Caenorhabditis elegans: one gene and its partner. The protein of the gene in region 1 interacts with the protein of each later gene in a pairwise test. Each region holds a gene or a part of one and is shown in the gene's direction. Other genes may lie near its edges.

The links.
Region 2: the proteins of nhr-25 (region 1) and wrm-1 interact in binary tests that used the Caenorhabditis elegans proteins (3 or more experiments, as listed by UniProt).

Annotation. Positions count from the first base shown.
Region 1 is NC_003284.9:13,005,460-13,015,462, forward strand, and holds nhr-25 (Nuclear hormone receptor family member nhr-25), read left to right. Parts: upstream 1-3,033; 5' UTR 3,034-3,129; intron 3,130-3,426; 5' UTR 3,427-3,432; coding exon 3,433-3,549; intron 3,550-3,558; exon of another isoform or gene 3,559-3,761; intron 3,762-3,806; coding exon 3,807-3,839; intron 3,840-3,931; coding exon 3,932-4,040; intron 4,041-4,312; exon of another isoform or gene 4,313-4,454; intron 4,455-4,647; exon of another isoform or gene 4,648-4,830; intron 4,831-4,879; coding exon 4,880-5,063; intron 5,064-5,113; coding exon 5,114-5,238; intron 5,239-5,287; coding exon 5,288-5,575; intron 5,576-5,690; coding exon 5,691-5,965; intron 5,966-6,291; coding exon 6,292-6,410; intron 6,411-6,868; coding exon 6,869-7,114; intron 7,115-7,531; coding exon 7,532-7,754; 3' UTR 7,755-8,503; downstream 8,504-10,003. UniProt on the Caenorhabditis elegans protein: Orphan nuclear receptor and probable transcription activator, required during development. Plays a role in male tail tip morphogenesis regulating the expression of the transcription factor dmd-3 in a negative feedback loop.
Region 2 is NC_003281.10:5,719,586-5,728,681, forward strand, and holds wrm-1 (Armadillo repeat-containing protein wrm-1), read left to right. Parts: upstream 1-3,264; 5' UTR 3,265-3,297; coding exon 3,298-3,322; intron 3,323-3,373; coding exon 3,374-3,481; intron 3,482-4,024; coding exon 4,025-4,197; intron 4,198-4,254; coding exon 4,255-4,638; intron 4,639-4,827; coding exon 4,828-5,707; intron 5,708-5,756; coding exon 5,757-6,103; intron 6,104-6,155; coding exon 6,156-6,322; intron 6,323-6,378; coding exon 6,379-6,581; intron 6,582-7,061; coding exon 7,062-7,165; 3' UTR 7,166-7,530; downstream 7,531-9,096. Other genes in the region: LDL receptor repeat-containing protein egg-1, read left to right, coding at 8,598-8,650, 8,697-8,778, 8,823-9,096. UniProt on the Caenorhabditis elegans protein: Antagonistic role in the Wnt signaling pathway that operates in embryogenesis. When located at the cortex it has been shown to inhibit Wnt signaling during asymmetric cell division but when relocated to the nucleus it shows positive regulation.

The DNA of each region.
Region 1 (10,003 bases):
ATGACTTAAACTTGCAACGCGTTCACGGGTATCATACACACTCACGCGCAGTCAACCACTTGCCCTACTCTTAAATTTGGAAACATCTTGGAAACATACACAAACACCCGAACGACCTGTTCCTCAAGCATTGTTCCCTTCTTAGTTCTCCATCTCTCCCCTGCCTCTCTATTACCTTTTTTGCCCATTTGCATCCCAAAACGTCGCGTAATTCCTCGTTTCTGTAGTCCTTTGATAGAATTCCAGTTGTGGTGATGTGTTACTGGTACCGTCACTGGTAAACTGATCTTTAACACTTGTTGCCCTATTTGAACTTCTAACCCATGTTGGTTATGTTTCCAAGAAAAAAGGTGCCATATTTTGTCATGAAACTTTTGAATCTGAAAGTGTCTAGACTCCATTTCCCAATTTAGAGAAAGTGGGCGGCGCGTTACCTCGTTTTTTCCCGTGTCTCCCACGGGAGTGCGTGCGTGAGTATGAAAGTGTGGGGCGACACCATCGGACAGGTTTTTTTTGTGATGGTATGTTGATGATGTGGGTAAGACTGTCACAGTGGCTTCAGAATGTGAAAAAAAACCGAGAAGAGTCAATTTTCAATTTTTACTCTCCGACATTTGCACGTTAGAATTTACATTTCAGCCATATCCAGGAGTTACGGAAATTGGCTGGCGAAGCCCTTTTTTTTTAAATTTTTTATCTCTTCACTGATCTGTAACTTATATCAACAATAACACATTTTACTGTGCTTCGTCTAATCCACATAGGTTTGACGCAGCGGTGTCACGTGCCTATTTGTCACAGCAAAATGGCTTCTGACTTTCTTCTTCGTCTTGTCTTTGCAATTTTTCGGTTCCCAAGCGCCATTTGATTAGTTAATAGTCAGCAGCTTTGCGCCAAATAAAAATCACGCAACACCACACCACGCCGCGCGAAAATAAGTTGATGAAAACGCAACACTCTTTTGTAAGAAAATCCAGCAGATGCCGTACGGTCTGTCTCTCAATTCAATATTGTCTCTTTTATCCGCGCCATTTTCCAAATGCGGGACATTTTCATCGGCGGGCCCCCGGCGCCGCAAGTTTTTCTTATTTTCCTCCCTCTCTTCACCTATTTCACTCCATATCTTTCTCTCTCTCCTCGTGTTGCTACTGTTTTTTCACACCCTTCTTTCCTCCTCCATTCTACCATGCCAACGCAAATTTTCTTCTTTGATCAGGAATTCCTTGTACATTCATCTTCTATCTCTATCTCTCTGATTTCTCCATCAATCTCGCCAAATGTTTACATCTGGAAGTATTGTTGCGCACCTCACACTGAAATTTGATACTGTTCTTATCTGATTGAGCTTAGTTGAAACATATGCATAGCTTATTCAAAATTTTGTTAAAGGCGTCATTTGACATACTTCCAATTTTTCTGCAATATTACACTGTCTCCGGTTGTTGCGCAGCCCTTTCTTTTTTTTGCCCGACTTGCACTTATCTTATCATATTTTCACTGATGATGTCTATAGCGCCTTTAACTATTTCATACATATACAAAATCCCGGATATAGTCATTGCCATATTTTATTTTCCTTTTTTTCCTAAGTATTTGTGGAAAGTTTAATACGAAAACCAATAAAATACGTGTTTTGAACTTATAATATAGAAAAACCTATTTTAAATTTAGATTAAAAACTATTTAAACCTAACAGGCATACCTTTAATTTAACCAGACGATTCAATTTTTGATAATGACGTTATCATAATTATGCAAAAATGATTAGCTTTCTACAATATACATTGTTAAATATCTAAACTTTGTTGAAATACCAGCTCAAAATGAGAATATAACTTTTTTAATCTAAGAACTATCAATATTTTGACGAAATTTTATATTCTATTTTTTTTAAATAACGTTTCTAGTCTTAGCTGAGCATGTTGCTTTTTGTGCATTTTTCGAGAATAACTTTTTTATTGTTCAGTATTTTTTAGAAAATAATTTCCTGTCTTGACTCTCTGAAATATTTTCGATGAGCTATCTCAATTAATCTCAATTTGGCTTCATTGTTAGTACACACGTTTAGAACCTAATGTTTTTAAGCTTCAAATAACCTGTAAACTTTTTTTTTTAATTCGGTCATTTTTGAGCGAAAAAAGTTTCACCCAGCGCCCCGCCCTTTTTTTAATAAAAAAAATGTCCAAAAACCAATTCTGCACGGTGAGATATCATCAAGATTCAGTAGAAGTTTTTAGATGCGAAATTTCAGACGTAGAGAACAGGATGACAAATTTTTATACTGGTAACATCTAGTAACATTTGACTTCGATTTTGATAATTTGTCTTATTTGTACTATTCATTTTTAAGCGGTTTCCTTGTTGGGATAATTTCTATCATATCGAAGCAGATAGTTTTTAACCGGAAGTGCTTTTCTATACAAGCATATGTCGAGTTTGTTTTATTTTGTTTTAAAAATTTATTTTATTTGGCGCTTCTAAAAATCTTTTTCCCAGGCTAACTTATATGGTCCTATTTACGTTATCTCTCGATATCTCCTCTTAACCGGCTGATTGCGTAATAAAATGTAGATAGCGAGAAAAAGGGGTGGAGGCGACTTTTAGGGTAGGCGATGAATCAAAGCAGTCTAGGTAGGTAATATAAGTGAATTGACGAAGAAAAAAAATGAAGAACAATGCAAAGAAAATCAAATCTCCTTTTCCCACCCGGGGGGCAGCAAGTGAGACTATAAAAAATCGAGACCCACCGTCCCTGCGGTTTTCGCGCGCTGCGCAGAGAGAACAAGAGATATTCAAGTTGAAGTTACTGGGCAAAAAACGAACTGTAGCGGTGCCTGGCACGACCCCTGACGATACGCCACTGAATTGCCATACTCACACGTTTGCTTTCTCCGTTGTCGTCGTCGATCGTTTTTCTTTACCTCCCGTCAAGAAGAAGAAGACCCCCACGTCCTCTTCTTTTCTCTTCCTTTTTTTCATCATTTTTTCCCTCTCGATCATCCCCTTCTCTCCCATCGACGTTCACTATTTCAGGCCTCCGCGTCGACCTTCAACTACGACTCTCTTCTATACATAGGTAGCCGTTGGCGGATTTTAGTGGACGAAGAAGACGAGCGGGTGTGTCTTACGGTATGTAGGTCCCCTCGGGTAGAGCATGGTGGAGGGTGCGAGACAACCAAAGACATCCAACGATAGGCTCGCTGATGCCGCCAGTGGTGTGGTGGGAGGAGATCGACCGGCCCAAGAGATCCACACGGCAGCGAACCACTTACTCTCACTTTTCCGACTCCGCCTACTTTTTCTTCCGTACCGTGCCATCCTTGGACAGGTCCTTCATACCTTGTGCCATTCAGCTATCCCTTTCTCAAATTCATTTTTCTGTTTTCAATTTCATTCGAACATACAGTAATCCGAGATCTGTTCCAGAAATAAATGACTGACGTCGAGAGGATGGTTCTGCGACCGAATCATGAAGGCGAGATGTGCCCGGTTTGTGGTGATCGAGTCTCTGGATATCACTACGGCCTTCTGACGTGTGAAAGTTGCAAGGTTAGTCTTAGATGTCTTCACTTTTTTTCCGCGGGAAAAAAGTGGGTGTGTGGCAAAATGATAAGGTCATTTGTAGTTAGTGAGAGTCCCGACTCAGGGACACGTTCGAGCCCTTCAAGGACAGACAACTCTCACCGCCAAAATCATTCACTTGTTGCCATATGACCCTCATCGGGCGGTCATCTCTAGTTTTTCATTTGATTCTTTTTTTTCCATTTATTGTTTCATTCTCTCCATCAATAATTTTCTCTTTACAGGGCTTCTTCAAACGCACTGTTCAAAACAAGAAGGTGAGTACATACATATGTATAAAAATATAACACTGTAGCTGATGTTATCTAAGTATTGTTTTCGACTTTCTCCAATTTGTCCCTTCTTTCAGCAATATCAATGCTCTGCCGAAGCCAACTGCCACGTGGATCGTACTTGCCGGAAGAGGTGTCCAAGCTGTCGATTCCAGAAGTGCCTCACAATGGGAATGAAAATGGAAGGTAAGATATCTATCATATCTAAAAGAGCGCAACCGCTCTTCTGTAAGAGCACATACTGTGCTGACTTCTTGATTGATGGGATAATAAGGGATGTAACCGTTATCGAAAGTCCATCTCTATAAAAATTTTGAATTTGCACTTTAAGCAGCGTCATAAGCTTGTTCCACGTAATCATCGCGCAAGGCTTACACTTTTTGTGGATTTCTACTTCTCCTTTCTTTCATCTCTGTTACATGTTTCTCTCTCTCTCGTTTTTCTTTTCGTTTCGTTTTTGCATGACAACAAAAACGATATATTGAAAAGAGAGATGCAAAATTGGATATGAAACGGTGAGAGTGGAAGAGAAGAATAGATCTGACAGTCACCGAAAAACCGGTACCTGGAGACCTGGGGGTGGAGGCGCGCATCTCAAACGCTCTATGGCAGGCGCGCAACCATTTCAAATGTTGGAGAAAAGTGAGGCAACACCTTGGAAAACAACTGAAGTTCAGTGAAGTTTTATTAGGACATCCGGTGCATCATAAAAGAACTATTGGCATTCGGGGAAGTAGTAAAAGTGCAAAACAATAGTAGCCGGCTCGATAATTATAGGTGCTGAACAGTACCTTTGTTGGGAAAACATGAAGTGCCGAACTCATTCATTGCGGCGCGTTTTTCGTGAGGATCTCAATTGCAGGGTGTCGCATGTTTTGCGGCAAAAATGACTGCACTTGCCCACTCTACTCCAGATCAAATGAGCCGTGTGTACAGTCATCTGGCGGGTACAAACGGGGAACTGTAAATTGAAGGGGGAACATCGAAATGAGTGTGTGCACTTGGATAATGACTATGTTTTGTAGCGGTGCGTGCCGATAGGATGAGAGGTGGACGAAACAAGTTCGGATCGTTTTATAAGAAGGATCGGGCTCATCGTATGCAGAGAAACGCAATGAGAGTGAGCACAGTGCAAGTTCCAGCCGTCCTTGGAGCACAATCACAAGCACAAACATTCTATCAACCTCCAGAGCACCAGGTTTCAAGCAGGTGAGCTTTATTTCTTATATTTCTTTCAACTTATCAATCTCATATTTCAGCACAACTGACCAGAACAACCAAATCAACTATTTTGACCAAACTAAAATCAAAACTGAATATATCAAAACTGAGTATGATGCACATCTCCAGAGTCCAACATTGTCCAGTAGCACTAATCAGCAGCGTAAGAATATTTTCTGGAGTTGTTAATAGCATCAAATTATAAATTTCAGTTTCTGTTTCCGATTTTATCATGAGACCTGGATACTTAGTTGACCCACAAGACAGCTTGGCAGTACTTCTTGGGAGCACAATTGACGACCCACTTCTCAGGCATACCTTCCCAGCAGCTTATCAGTTGAATGAAGTCAAACAGGAGCCATTTGACTATTCGGAGCAGTTCATTCATCACTCATTGCACGACTATCCAACTTATACCAGCAACACTACCAATTATGCTACAATGATGCCAATGACAACTGTTTCCAGCACACAATCCTTGGTCACTTCGACTTCTTCTAGTAAGTTTTAGTTTTTTTATCGCTTTTTCTTGTCTTCAGTTTATAGTTTCAACATTTCAAATTTTTGATTAAGTTTTTTTTTAATTTTTGAAATGTTAACATTACTTAATTTCAGCAACAACTGGCCGAATGACAGAAGCTAGCAGCACATCACCAATTCTCCCACTTTGCCCAGCACCAACTGAAAAAACGGTGGACCACTTTTACAACAGCTCGATCGCCGAAATGTGCAAAACATTACCCGATGATGCTCAAATTGCTCGAATTTTCACAAGCGTAAAAGGAACTAGCAAACCTGAAAAGCACGCATTTTCCATTCAAGTCGCAGAGGAAAATTTGAAAGATATCGTGATTTGGGCAAAAAATGATCAACTATTCAGCAAATTATCGGTAAAATAATACATACAACAATATAATAATCTAGGCACTCTCATTTCCCACCAGCGGTTTTTTTCTAATATTTTTATTCTCTATTTCCCACCCTGATGAGATGGGAATAATGTAGATAAATTGCTCGCTTCCGGTGATCAAAAGAAACAATCGCCGCTATAAAAAGAGGCGCTCCTTCTCAAAAGGTACATCCCCATACAAACACACCTCTATTGTTTTCATTACGGACACCCATTATGTACTAGGAGTAATTGCACCGCAACCTTTTTATATCCTGAGTGTGATAAGTAATTGGTTGAAGATTTACTAAAGTGCATTTATTCCAGTTGGATGACCAAATGATTCTGTTGCAAACATCGTGGACAACCGTTCATATCGTTGATATCACTAATGCAATGGTCCACGGAAATCTTCTTTCGCAGTATAAAATGTCAAATGGTGATGAGTAAGTTGTTAAAATTTCTTTGAGTTCCATTCTTCCTAAGGCTCGGAAACAATTTTTGTGGAACGTTTGATTCTGGCTATTTAATGAGTCAATCAACTTCCAACGCAACACAACTACTATAAACAAACCGATCTGACAGCGGCGTCTATAAGATTAGGCTATAAAGATTTGGCGATAAATCTTGACTCATCTATCTCGATTACCCACCTTTTTTGCCTCTCGCAACATTGGGTGCCGACATGACGCAAGTCTTGATTCTCGGCACCAGATAAGATCTTCGTCCCGCGAGCTCATCGTATAAAGTATTGCGCATTTTCCCACTACCGGCATAGGCTCTAATAAGGATTAGGCTACCATTTTAGTTACGTAATTGTTGTGAAAACGAGCCGGTGGTCTTTCAAAAGTTCAAGACCTTTTAAGGCCCAATAAACCACTATAAAATCGTATTCTTTTTGCAGAGTTCCCGTCGGTCTTGTAGCTCTTCTTGGCAATCAAACATTCGTATCATCATGGAATGATGTTGTTATTCGGCTTCGAAATATGGGATTCACGAATTTCGATTATTGTGCTTTCCGATTCTTAGCCCTTTTTGACCAATCAATGGACTCTTTCCCAGCAGTCTCTACTGCTCGATCTCGAGTACTCCAATCTTGGCGTGAAGTGAGATGTACTACCGCCTTTCTGGAAATTTTCGAACAAATCAGGTAAACCTTTGGCCTTCGTAAAAACCCATCACAAATCAATCTTTCCCCTCGCCTCCACACAAATTAGCAACGTTGCCGTATAATTAGTGCTCATCTCTCCCTCCAAAAACTTGTTGTATACAGGAGACAAAGAATTGGGGAGAGAAGAGAAGCATCGGAAGAGTGGAGAAAAAAACTTATAATAGGAAGGCTCATTTATTCTGGTTGGATAGGTGCGCGAGGAGAAGGAAACAGATTAGAAAACGGGGCACAATATGTATACGGTATTGTTGCGCAGCAGGTGGCACTAAGAACGGGGAGAGAATCTTTACTAAATACATATGAATAGACAGAAAACAACTTGACTTATGAATATGCATTGGGAAATATGAATAAGTCGATTAATTACTTCTTACAATCTATTCTTTCTAATTTCAGACGACTCGCTTACGACTCACTACGGTACTTATGGAACCTTCATTCAAACTGCCCCACGAACTGGGAGCAATTCTTTCCGGAAGCCTCCTTGGTTCTTGAAATGATTCGCACTACTGTCAACCGATCGGCTAGCAGTAGCGTCACCGCAATCACTCAGGTCCCAGCAATCCAACTGCCAACCCCACAAGCCACATACACTGCTGTGCCGTACATGGCATCATAATGTCTCTGTCATAGGAGCTGAAAACTTCCAATGGAGTCAGTCAGCAACTCCCTTTGTTTAGCGATCTCGCTCAACTCTTCCATTTTTACGGGACCGGTTTTTTCTGTTGTCAATTACAGACAGCCAGTATTTTCTGCATAATTCCCTTATTTCACTTATTCAACTTTATAATATCAATATCATTTTATACCTCAAAAACCTCCATCCATGCATTTCAATTCATTTTCTTCAAGATCTATTGAATATCTTGCATTTTTCGTGCTGTGTCAGCTTTTAGTCGGTTGTACTTTATTTAAATCATTTGCATTTTTTCAATTCTCATTTTGTCTCAATATCTGTGTATCCTAGTGCCCAAACCCTCACAGCTTTTAAATGTATTTTGCTCTATTTTTTTTTCATTCAAAAATCTTTCCTCTCAAAACCCATTTTCCTAGGTCACGAGCCAATCAAAATTGGCACTTTATTATTATTATTGTTTCTCCCAACAAAAATCTGAAAATTCCGAAAAAACGTTCTCTGCCGAACTCTTCTCATCTTCCCAAAACTTTAAGACTGTTCTCTTCTGCAAAACGGATAATTGTTTTACATGCAATTAATATATTTGTATTTTGTCTGAATTCGCCCCCATTTTATTTCTTTATGGATTTTTATGTTTGGTTGTTTTATTATTCTTTTTTTCTTTGATTTTGATCAATCAACACACCTCACTTGTTTTGTATGTGCAGATCGTATATAAAAATTGAAATTTTAAATTATTTGAAATACTTTTACAAAAAATATTAAAATGAAGTATTGCGATTGTAGGATGAACTTTCAGGTTTTTGTGGATTTAAAAAAATAAGACTTGGTTTTTATTTGGTTCTGAAAACTTTCAGAAAACTAGACTTTAGTTTAAAATTTTTAAGACCAATCTTTTAAACTTAAATACTTTGTAGAGTGAGTACAGTTCACTCTGGATGTGAAAGTACTTTTCCCACTTATCTGTCTATTTTTGCCCTTTATTTTCCTCGCCTTGTCTACAAAGGGCGTTTTTCCTATATTTTGTGTCAGTTGCCATATAGGAGTATTACTTTCAGAACGAAAAAAAGTGAATGGTTACTTTTCGATTCTGCGTCTTCTTTGTAACTATTGAACCTTAAAAAATGACAATAAATATTCCACCTATAGGTAAAAAGAAGAGAAAAAAATCAAAGCCCCTTGTCTCCCTACGCTTTTTTCTTCCACCACCCACGGAGAGGCCCAACGATTTAACCGAACTGGTTTTATATGTCTTCTTCGTCTTTTCCATTTTTTTTTGGTCGATCAAAGAAAGAAAATGAGAGGTACCCCCACCCTCACACGCACCGACGATTCTGCAGTTTTTCAACTTGCGCAGACATCATTCTGAAAGAAGGAGATGAAGACACACTACACGCATAAAAAATCGAGAGAAGCAGTTAGATGAAGGAGGAAAGGAAGATGTCATGAAATTCGGCAAATCGATTACGATGGTTCTGGTATTGCATGAGAAAATCATACAATAAAGTTAGGTTAATGTTGGAACAGTGGAAGGGATCAAAAGCTTGAATTTGTAGATGCTTACAATAATTGTTTTTTTGTGTAGGTTTAAGAAAATTGTGCAGCAACATATGTTATAGCATTATCTGGTTATTTGATTTTAGCAATACAAGTTATTTCGGGACAGTTTCAAAAATAGAGCAGTGAAACACAGAAATTGATTGGTTTTTAATTTTGAAATCCTATACCGTATTCCCTTGATTAGTCTTGTAGGAAGACTATTTTCCGATCTGCCCGTAATGATGCAAAATCAAGAAAACGTGATTTTACGGCGTTGGAGCCATGAAAAAACGTAATTTTTCATCATTTTTTTTCCAATCGTTCAATTATTCCAAGTTTATTTTACCCCAATGCTGACAAATTTACTGAGTTTTCCCACAAAGTACGACTAGTTGGTAAAATATGAATGCAGGACTATTAGGGTCTGCAAAAGAAATTTTTGATTATCTTGTTGGGGTGCAATACTAAACCCATAAAAAACGTACTTTTCCATTATTTTTTCAGTCGTTTGAACATTTCAAAGTTTGTTTTACCCCAATTCTAAAACAATTGCTGAATTTTACCTAAAGTTCCACTGGTTGGTAAAAAATAAATGCAGGACTATTAGGGCCTGCAAAAGAAATTTTTGATGAGCTTATTGGGGGTGCAAGACTAATAGGGGCGCAATCATTTCATAGAGTACGCACCTAGTA
Region 2 (9,096 bases), on another chromosome or scaffold:
ATATTTAATTATGTACATAAACACACATGCGTCCATACTTTTTGGTCATTTCTGGTGATGACAATATTTGAGATGGGATATCCGAGAGGATTATTGCGCAATTCGCACTGCAATCCGATATCTTCGACTTTTATTATCCATTCTTCGACTTGTTTCTAGCACAAACAAGTTGAGAAGTCTTTTGTGAAACTATTTTTACTTGTGACGTGGTCTGAACAGTTTAGCGTGACATTCAAGTGAAGTGGTACTTGAACAAATGACATGTACAGTTGGTCAAGAGGTCGTCTACTTATTTTAAATTTGAATATAGTTTTAAATGAAGTATACATTCATGCTTTGAGCATTAAAAATGATTTCCAAAGAAAGCAACTAAAGAATTTTGAATTGCCTCCAAATTGCTTCACTGACGCACTTTTCGATATCTAGCGCATTTCTCGATAACCCAACATGCGCCAACACTTTTCATTTTTTTGATTTTCATGAAATTTCAGTTAAATTCCGAAAATATCGCTTGTTTTTCAAAAAATCACTCACTATTTATTTAAATTATCAATGAGAGTGTTAAAATCGATGCTCTGTTATGCAAAAATACCAGTTTTTTGCTTTAAAAAAGATAAAAATCATAATTTATTTGTTAAAGAACAGTTTTAAAGTTTTTCACGAGCAAAAAGATCAGAAATTCACTAGTAATTATTTTGCAGTTTTTTTCGTAGTAGAAAATAATTCAAATACACCCATAATAAATAGCTTCGTAAATCAGAATTTTATTAGCATAACCCTAAACACCAAAGTTTACAACTATTACTATTACTGAGAAGATGACATTTCCGCCACCTATTTAATTAGTCTCATTTTTACAATCCTCTTTCATTCACTCACTTGCATTCCAATTACTGATTCTATTTTCCATCTTCTTCCTCTCTTCTCATTATGCACAGAGTCTTTCTCTGGGTTAATTCGATACAATTCAAATCGTGTGTCCCGTCCCTCCAGTTGAATTCAATTCATTTTCGAATTTACCACCCCTCATTCATTCCTCCACTGGGTTTCTCTGGTCACTGTGGCGAACGAATGGTGCAAAAGGAGTCCATACATTGCGTCACACTGTCTGTGTATCTCTCGTTCAGCATACTATCTCATCGGACCGTTTCTCACACGGGGCACCTTTCCCCTGGTCATTCATTCACCCTCTGCTTGGGTCTGTTTGTCATCAGGCACATTCGTACACTTTCTTGTCCACCATTCACCCACACCATCTTTCCCACCACTCTATTTTTCTATAGATTTTACTCTGCTGCTCCAATTATCGACTTTGCCCAATTAGCCGTAGGTGTGTGGATTTTAAAAACTGTGTCATCAAGGCATCACTTTCAAATCCGTTTTACTGAGAAAGTGTCCTTGAATCGACGTTCTTCCGTTCGAAATCTTCACGCTTATGCAAACATATGGAGACAGATGTTTTCTGAAGCGATAGGGAGAAAAACGTGGGAAACAGGTGCAACAGTTGCTTTTATTTGCCAATTTTTTTTTGGTTTTTCTGCAAAATTTTCGACTATTTCTCTGCCTTTAATTTCCATTGAAAATTCCTGTATTTTTCGTAAATTTTTTGCCAAATTATGTTTTAAATTTCTCAAATTTGTACCCGAATTCACAGGAATCATTTAGAACACGATTTGTCGATATTGAAACAAAAAACTCAAAGTTAGTTGATTTTCAACAACACGAATAAGCTGAAAATTTCCGATTTATCAACATAAATCATGTGAAAAATGCAATTTTTGACTTGAACCCTACTTTTAGAGGTGAAAATTGAGGAATTTTGCAGATTTTCGGCCAGAAATAGTGAAATATCAGTTTTTTTTGTTAAAACTGAAATTTAGCAGAATTTCAAAAAGAAAAAAAAAACAGGTTTTGCATTTCACAAAAAAATGTTAAATTCTCTAAAATTGATTTTTCCTCGCCGCTGCTCTTGATTCTTCCAATTTCCGGTTCATTTTCAATTCCCCTAAATCCGGCTTTCATTTTTTCTTTTCCTTCTTCTCATCCTCACGCCTCACTTGATATCCTCAAAGTCATAGATTCAAATGTTTCTTCGTCACATTTTTGTCTCCGATGACACGCCTGATGATTTAATAATGTGGTCAAATTGATTGATTACTAGTTGGTTGTTGTCTCTTTCTCTACGAGTCGTGTACACACTGATTCCCTTCAGCCTGAGCAGGTGCATATTATCCATTCGCCAATGCTTCTCCTTTTTTTCGAGCTAACTCGCAAGGTTTTGATTAAAATTTAAATAAAAAACTTTAATCCCAAATCCAGAAATTTTCACATAAAACATTTGTGTGGCCTTTCGAAGTAAACTTCCTGCTCAACGGCATCACATTTTCTTTGATTTATTCACTAGATTAACTTTCAGTATTGAAAGCTTCAATCGAATTCAAAATGTATTGATTCGCGGCGCGGAGGTTTCTAGGCCACCGGCTGTGTACTCCTCTCGGACGGGCGATGCCATTCTTCTTATCAGTTTAAATCTTTTTTTCATCGCAAAACTTACTGATAAACTTTGTGAGTTACGTATTTAATAGGAATAATTTTCTCTCCGCTATTTTCGGATTAAATTTCCCCGAAACATTTTGCAACTGGCCGTTCGTCCTGCTGTTTGAACAGCATTCAAGTGTTGACCCCCCACAGAGTATATACCCATATGAACTGATTTATTGGTTACCCCCGATCGTTTTGCATTTATTATCCATTCACCAATGTTTCAGAAATTCAAAATTTTCTACAAGTGGCTGACTATTCGAAAAAAAAAAATAGAATAAGGTGTCAAAAAGTCTGTCAATATTGAAAAAAGCTCAGTGTCCACTTGAGTATGTTTGACTTGGAAGGTGTGAATAGCAGTTGCTCGAAAGACAATAGGAAAGGGGTTTTGTACTTTTGCACAGCATTCTGAGTTATTTTCTAAAATGAAAAAAATTATTTTTTAAACTTTTCTGTAAATTATATTAAAATTGAGAAAAAAACTATTGCTTTGATTCAAAAAACTCATAAATTAAACAATTTTTAAAATATTTTCTAGTTGCTGCAAGAATTAGATACAATTCTCACAAATCCAAAAGTTCGTAATTCTTTTAACTTCTCTTGAAACTTCTTCATTTTTTTGTGAAATCTCCACACACATCCGATTACTTTCCTTTATTCCCCTCATCAATGGCGTTTTCTCAGGTTCTCACATCGAAATTTCTCATTTTAGCTTAGTTTCAGGTTCCTCAACGGACCTGCAACCACCCATCTGAAATGGATGTGGATTGCGCAGAAACATGTAGGTTCCCCCTTGAAATAATAATTATTAAAAAAATCAATAAAATTTCAGTCTCGCAACCATGCACTCCGCTGAATTTCAATCCGATGACTCCGTCAACATCGAGAGTTTCAACACCAGTTCGGCCGTCTTCTACAATGTCTGCCAGACAATATTCAGGTGAGAAAGATATGAAATTTTGGCTTTACTTCGAAAAAAAGATTAAAAGCGGCCAATTTATGCTTAAGATTTTTAATATTCGGAAAAGAATTATTGTAATCTGAGAATTACTTTCATTTAAGCTGGAATAATTGAAAAGTGCTCCGAAAATTGTCTGAAAGTTGAGAATTGCCCGACAAAATTTTCGACAAATCATCGAAAATTTTTTTCAATTTCTCAAACTGAAACAAAAGTTATCTTCAGATAAAGCAAATATTATTTTCTACTGAAAACATGCCACACTGGCTCAATTACCGCGTACCCCTGATCTAGAATGATTGAATAAAAACTCGTTTGCATAACAATTAATCCAAGAATTTCCTGGTCGATAACATATTCCAAAAGGCCATTTCGCGCCCTTTTCTCTCTCGACCCTCTCCAATCACATCACCTTATCACTTCCCCCATTCCATTTTCGTATGTCTCGTGTGTCTATGTGTTCCCCATTGGAAACTTCCCTCAAATTACATACCTCTTTTCACATATTCATATTTCATTTTTCAGGTTCGCCGTTCAAGGCTCAACCTCAGAACATGGAACCGTCCAATTCTCGGGTGCAAGAACTCCGGGAAGCTGCTGTGGGAAAGCGATCATACACAAATGCTTGGATGCAGGGTACCTATGCACCGCCGCAGATGGCAGGACAACAACAAAGGTTTTCGAGGCCTCCGAGTGTGGTAAGAGATTTTTATAAGAATTCCGCGGCTTGAACAGATAATAAAATCAAATTTCAGATCGGCTCCACAATGTCTCACATGACGAATATGTCAGAAATGACCGCCTACTCGTACGGTGGATTGTCAATGCTCTCAGTCAACACTGAAATGGGTGAATTCAACAATTTTGTCAATCAGGCACCATATCAGCGAGCACTGACACGTGTATCGCAGGTTTCCGAGAATCAGGATCCGACGAATCGACAGTATCCGATGACAGCTCCCGAGATTATTGAGAATCTGGAATCAACGGAACTAATCAATCAAGCAGCAGCGATTCGAGCTTTGGAGCCAATTGTGAAAGCTGGTGGAATGTTGCAAACCTGGGGACCTAAAGGAGCCGAACCGATTATTCGAGCTCTGTTTCAAGTTCTTATTCCTCGGCCAGTTGAGAATGAGAATGTAAGTTTTGCATAAATGTTCGTTGAAGGTTTTCATGGTAGGTAGGAACATCGTCATCCCTAAGTGGATGCCTACAGCCTAATATTGTTTAAAAATCTAAAATCTAAATCTAAAAAAATCTTTCAAAAAAAAAAAAAAATATATATAGATGTATTAAAATATCGTTTGACAACTCCATATTTTTTGTAGGTAATCCGGAAAGCGTTTGAAATTCTCCACCACTCAATTCTTCTCTCCAACAAGGAAATCCGACGTATCGACAGGATGTTCTTCCGACTGAATGCGGCATTAATGGATCCCAATGGGCCGCCTGTGTTCAATGTACCAAAGCCATACAGTATCTATGAGATCGTGATGACACGTGCCATTCAACTTGACACGAAATTCGAGTCCAGTGCTATGGTTCTGCTCGTACATCTTTGTTGTAAACCTCATTTCATGAAGATTTTCTTTGGAGAAGATGAGACTCAACAGTCACCAGCACATCGACGTCTTCACAAAATAGTAATTGAATTTGCAATTGGAAACCTGAGAAGACCGGAAACGAAGTCAAAGAATAAGGGACTTTGTGTATCGATTATTAAGAATTTGTCGAATAAAAATGCAACTATCAAAGATATGTCAGAACGTCTTGGTGTTGTGAGCCTCTTTCATCAAATTATGCAGAACGAAGTGATCCACGAGGATTTGTTGTGGTCAACGATGCAGGCTCTTACCGTATTCTGTGGAGATGTTAAGAATGGAACACATTTTGTGCAAATGGGTGGAGCACAAGTTTTGTGCGGTCTTCTTTCGCATGGATCAACACGACTTCTTCACGAACTTCTGAAGTGTTTGAGACGAGTATCAGATTTGCCAGCGATCCAGGAGCAGGATATGAAAGAATCGATTCATTGTATAGTTCAACTTATTGGATGTTCGGATGTAACGATTGTTGAGCTAGCGACTGGAACTCTACGAAATATTGGACTTCATAACAAGATGAACAAGGCATTTATGGTGCAGGATGGAGTTACAAGTCATGCGATCGCAGTTCTTCGGACATCTGAACAGTTTACATATCAGCCACGTTAGTTTTGAAATATTCAATCTGAAATTCTAATTTACTTATTTTTCAGATGCCAATATAGATTTATATAGAAAGCAGATTCTGTCGATTTATGAAAATTGTCTATCCGTATTGAACAATGTGACTTCTATGGCACCTCAAGATATCAAAGAATCTGCAGTATCAGCGTGTAGAATGATCAGTGAGAATGCCGACTCCGCATATGTGCTCCTTCATTACTTTAACGTTGGAAATCGGAAGTGCAGGAAACTTGCGGTGACAGTAATGAAACGTGTCATTGAGACGGTTCCTGCTTTTGCTGATCCGTTTGTTGATCTACTTGGAACAACAAATGAGCCACTACCAATTTTATTGCTTCAAAGAGCATTCCAGAGTTTGGACGAATGGCGGAAAACTGTAAGCTATAAATTAAATTCGTAGAAACAAATAAATTATAATTGATTTTCAGAGCGTTGAAATGATGAATTGTGACGGTAGAAGTGCTGAGCAGAGAAGAGAATTAGATGACAGACGAAAAGATCACGAAGATATTGTAAAACGATCTGTGGGACTTTTAACGAATCTTTGTAGTCAGGCAAATCCAAGATTTTTCCACAGTTTGAAGCTAGTATTGACGTAAGTTTTTTACACTGAAAATCACAATTGAAATAATTAATTTCATTTTATTCCAGAAATGGCACGCTAAACCCCTTCCAATGGCTGACACATGAGATGAGTGACGGTATTCTGCAAGAGTGGCTAGCATTCATTTTGTCAATTTGTAGTCGTGACGAGTCACTGCAAACTTTTATGATGTACAGATTCCTGGAACAGGCAAAAATGACTGAAGCATTCTTTGCGGAACTCAAGGCTCGTCGGCAGAATTCGAATATTCGTGAGTTTTTAACTTCTGAAGAAACTAACAAAAAATACGAATTTTTAAAATACACAAACGCGAAATTTTTCAATTTTGCGCCAAGAATTACGGTAACTTTTTGTTGAATGCAAATATGTGCTTTCATAAATAGTTTTTTTTGTAAAAAATATACGTTTCAATTGAAATATTTGGGGGTTTTGTGAATTATTATTTATGAAAACCTATGAACAATCTATGAAAATTCAGCAGAAACTAAAATTTCATAATGCAGGACTTTTAAAGGCGCACACCATTTTGCATTTAACAAAAGCTTGTCGTGTCGAGACCGGGTACTGTATTTTTGGCGCAAAATTTAGCTACTTCCAGAACATTAAAAGCCTCTTCATTTCTATCACTGCGATAAAAAAAATTACAACCGTGTTTAGAAATTTTATAAATTCTGAAATATGAAATTTTTTATTCCCATAATTCCCTTTTACAATTCACGATCTATTTCAGAAACTATGTTGTCAAAGATCATCGATCTTGGTAGACATCAGCAGAGAATAGTTTCACAACAACATCAACAGCATCAAATGCAGCATCATCGACAACTAATGTGAATGAATCTTTGTGCGGGTACAGAATTCCCTACTCCCGGTGCACAGACACACAATCTCAATCAAATCGATCTTCCAGTTTTATTCATGTGCTATTATATATTTATCTTCATTCCATCCCCATGTTCCCTTATGTAGTTTCACATCAAATACCCACTTCATTTCGTTGTTCTCATTATCAGTATTTGGAGCATATCACTCCCCAATCTAATTAGTTTTTTCCCATCTATCCGTATTATTTGTTGCTCACTTCATTTCTCCAACCATCTCTCAATTATCTCATGTTCTATTACAAGTGCGAACTCTTTTCGACAATTTGATAACGGGCCCTTTTTTTTCGTCTATCGTGTATATGAATTATTTATTAGACTTTAATCTAGAAGACACAAGAAGATTCATCTAGAAGACACAAGAAGACGGACAAAAATTATGATGTAAATCAGAGAAGAGATCAGATATGAGATGAAGGAAGCAATGCGCCAAGCACGATCACCACCAGTTTCAACTGTGTGCACACCATTCGAAAACGTGTAGCAGTGCGCAAAGATGGCGCCAGTCTGAAAAATTGTAAAATTTTGTTACTTTTTTAGAGGATCGCTGGATACCCAAAATAAGATCTGAAGCAGGAAGTGGGCAAAGACGGAAAATGTATTCGGGGCACAAATGATGAACAGGGATAAGCCGACAAGAAGAAACTGAAATATTGAAAAAAAATTGCCACGTGTCACATACATACAGGCGGTCTCACTTCAAAGACATACCACCACGGCTACGAATTTTTGACAAGCAAAATGTGCAGGGTCAGAATGGCACAATGAATGAGTGCCATCATGATGAACCACACATAAACTGGCATACAGAAGCATGGATCTTGCGCAGTGGCTCCTAGCTCAGATCCCGATTGAGCTCTGCCACGTGGTTCCTCTGGGCGTTGGGTCCTAGATATTGAAATTTTATTGGGATTTCAGAACTTGGTTAATTCGATTGAAAACCTAGAAGTCGATGGACTCACTCAATATCGCGATTACACTGGTTCTCAAGCATATTATTCAGACACTTTATTTGAGTTAAAACTTAAAAATACATTTCATTTGTATTATTTTTCGATTCACGTGTTTTCATTATTTAAATATTTTTTGCGGAAAAATATTTCAACTAAAACACTTTTTGAATAACGCGCGCTTTTCTTGCGGGTTTCGCAACGATTACAGTACCCCACTGAAAATTTTCAAGGCGCGATTATGATTTTCGGAAGTTAGTCTTGAAGCGACTTTACAAAACATCTTTGATCTAGACTTTGACCCACCGTTATTCTTAGCGGGAAAATATAAATTTTCGCCCAACCCTAACTTGATTTCTTTCATTCACGATGCGGTTTTGTTTTTTCTTCTACGCCTTTTTTCCATCTTTTCATCAAATTTAAAATTTTCAGGCTATGAGCCAGCAACCCGGATCCGCTCGACGTGTGAACTTCCCAGAGGAGCCAATGTAAGAAAATTAGATTTATTTCATATTTAAGTTTCTTCAATTTCAGGACGCTGGGAGAAAAGTTCAGCCATCGAATGGATCAGTTAAAGGAAATAATAGCCGATGGAGGTTGCTCACGTGCTGCAAAGGTTGGATGATGATCCGGATTAACTTTTTTAATTAATTATTTCAGTGCGTGTCAATCACCGTTTGCCTGGTTCTGCTGGTTCTCATTTTTGGTGGCGCGATCGTTTACCTCGTCATGTCACTGACTTCTTCTGCTCAGAAAATGTCAGCCGATAGTATGGATATCTCTCCACAAGCTATTCGTCATCCGAAATTCTGGCCTCCAACCGACAAGATTCGTTTTGATGATCTCAATGGAATTCCAATGACTTCTTTGTTCCCTCAAAACGTCTCAACATGTTCTGGATTCGGATTCGCATGCACCGGGGCAGTTCACATGG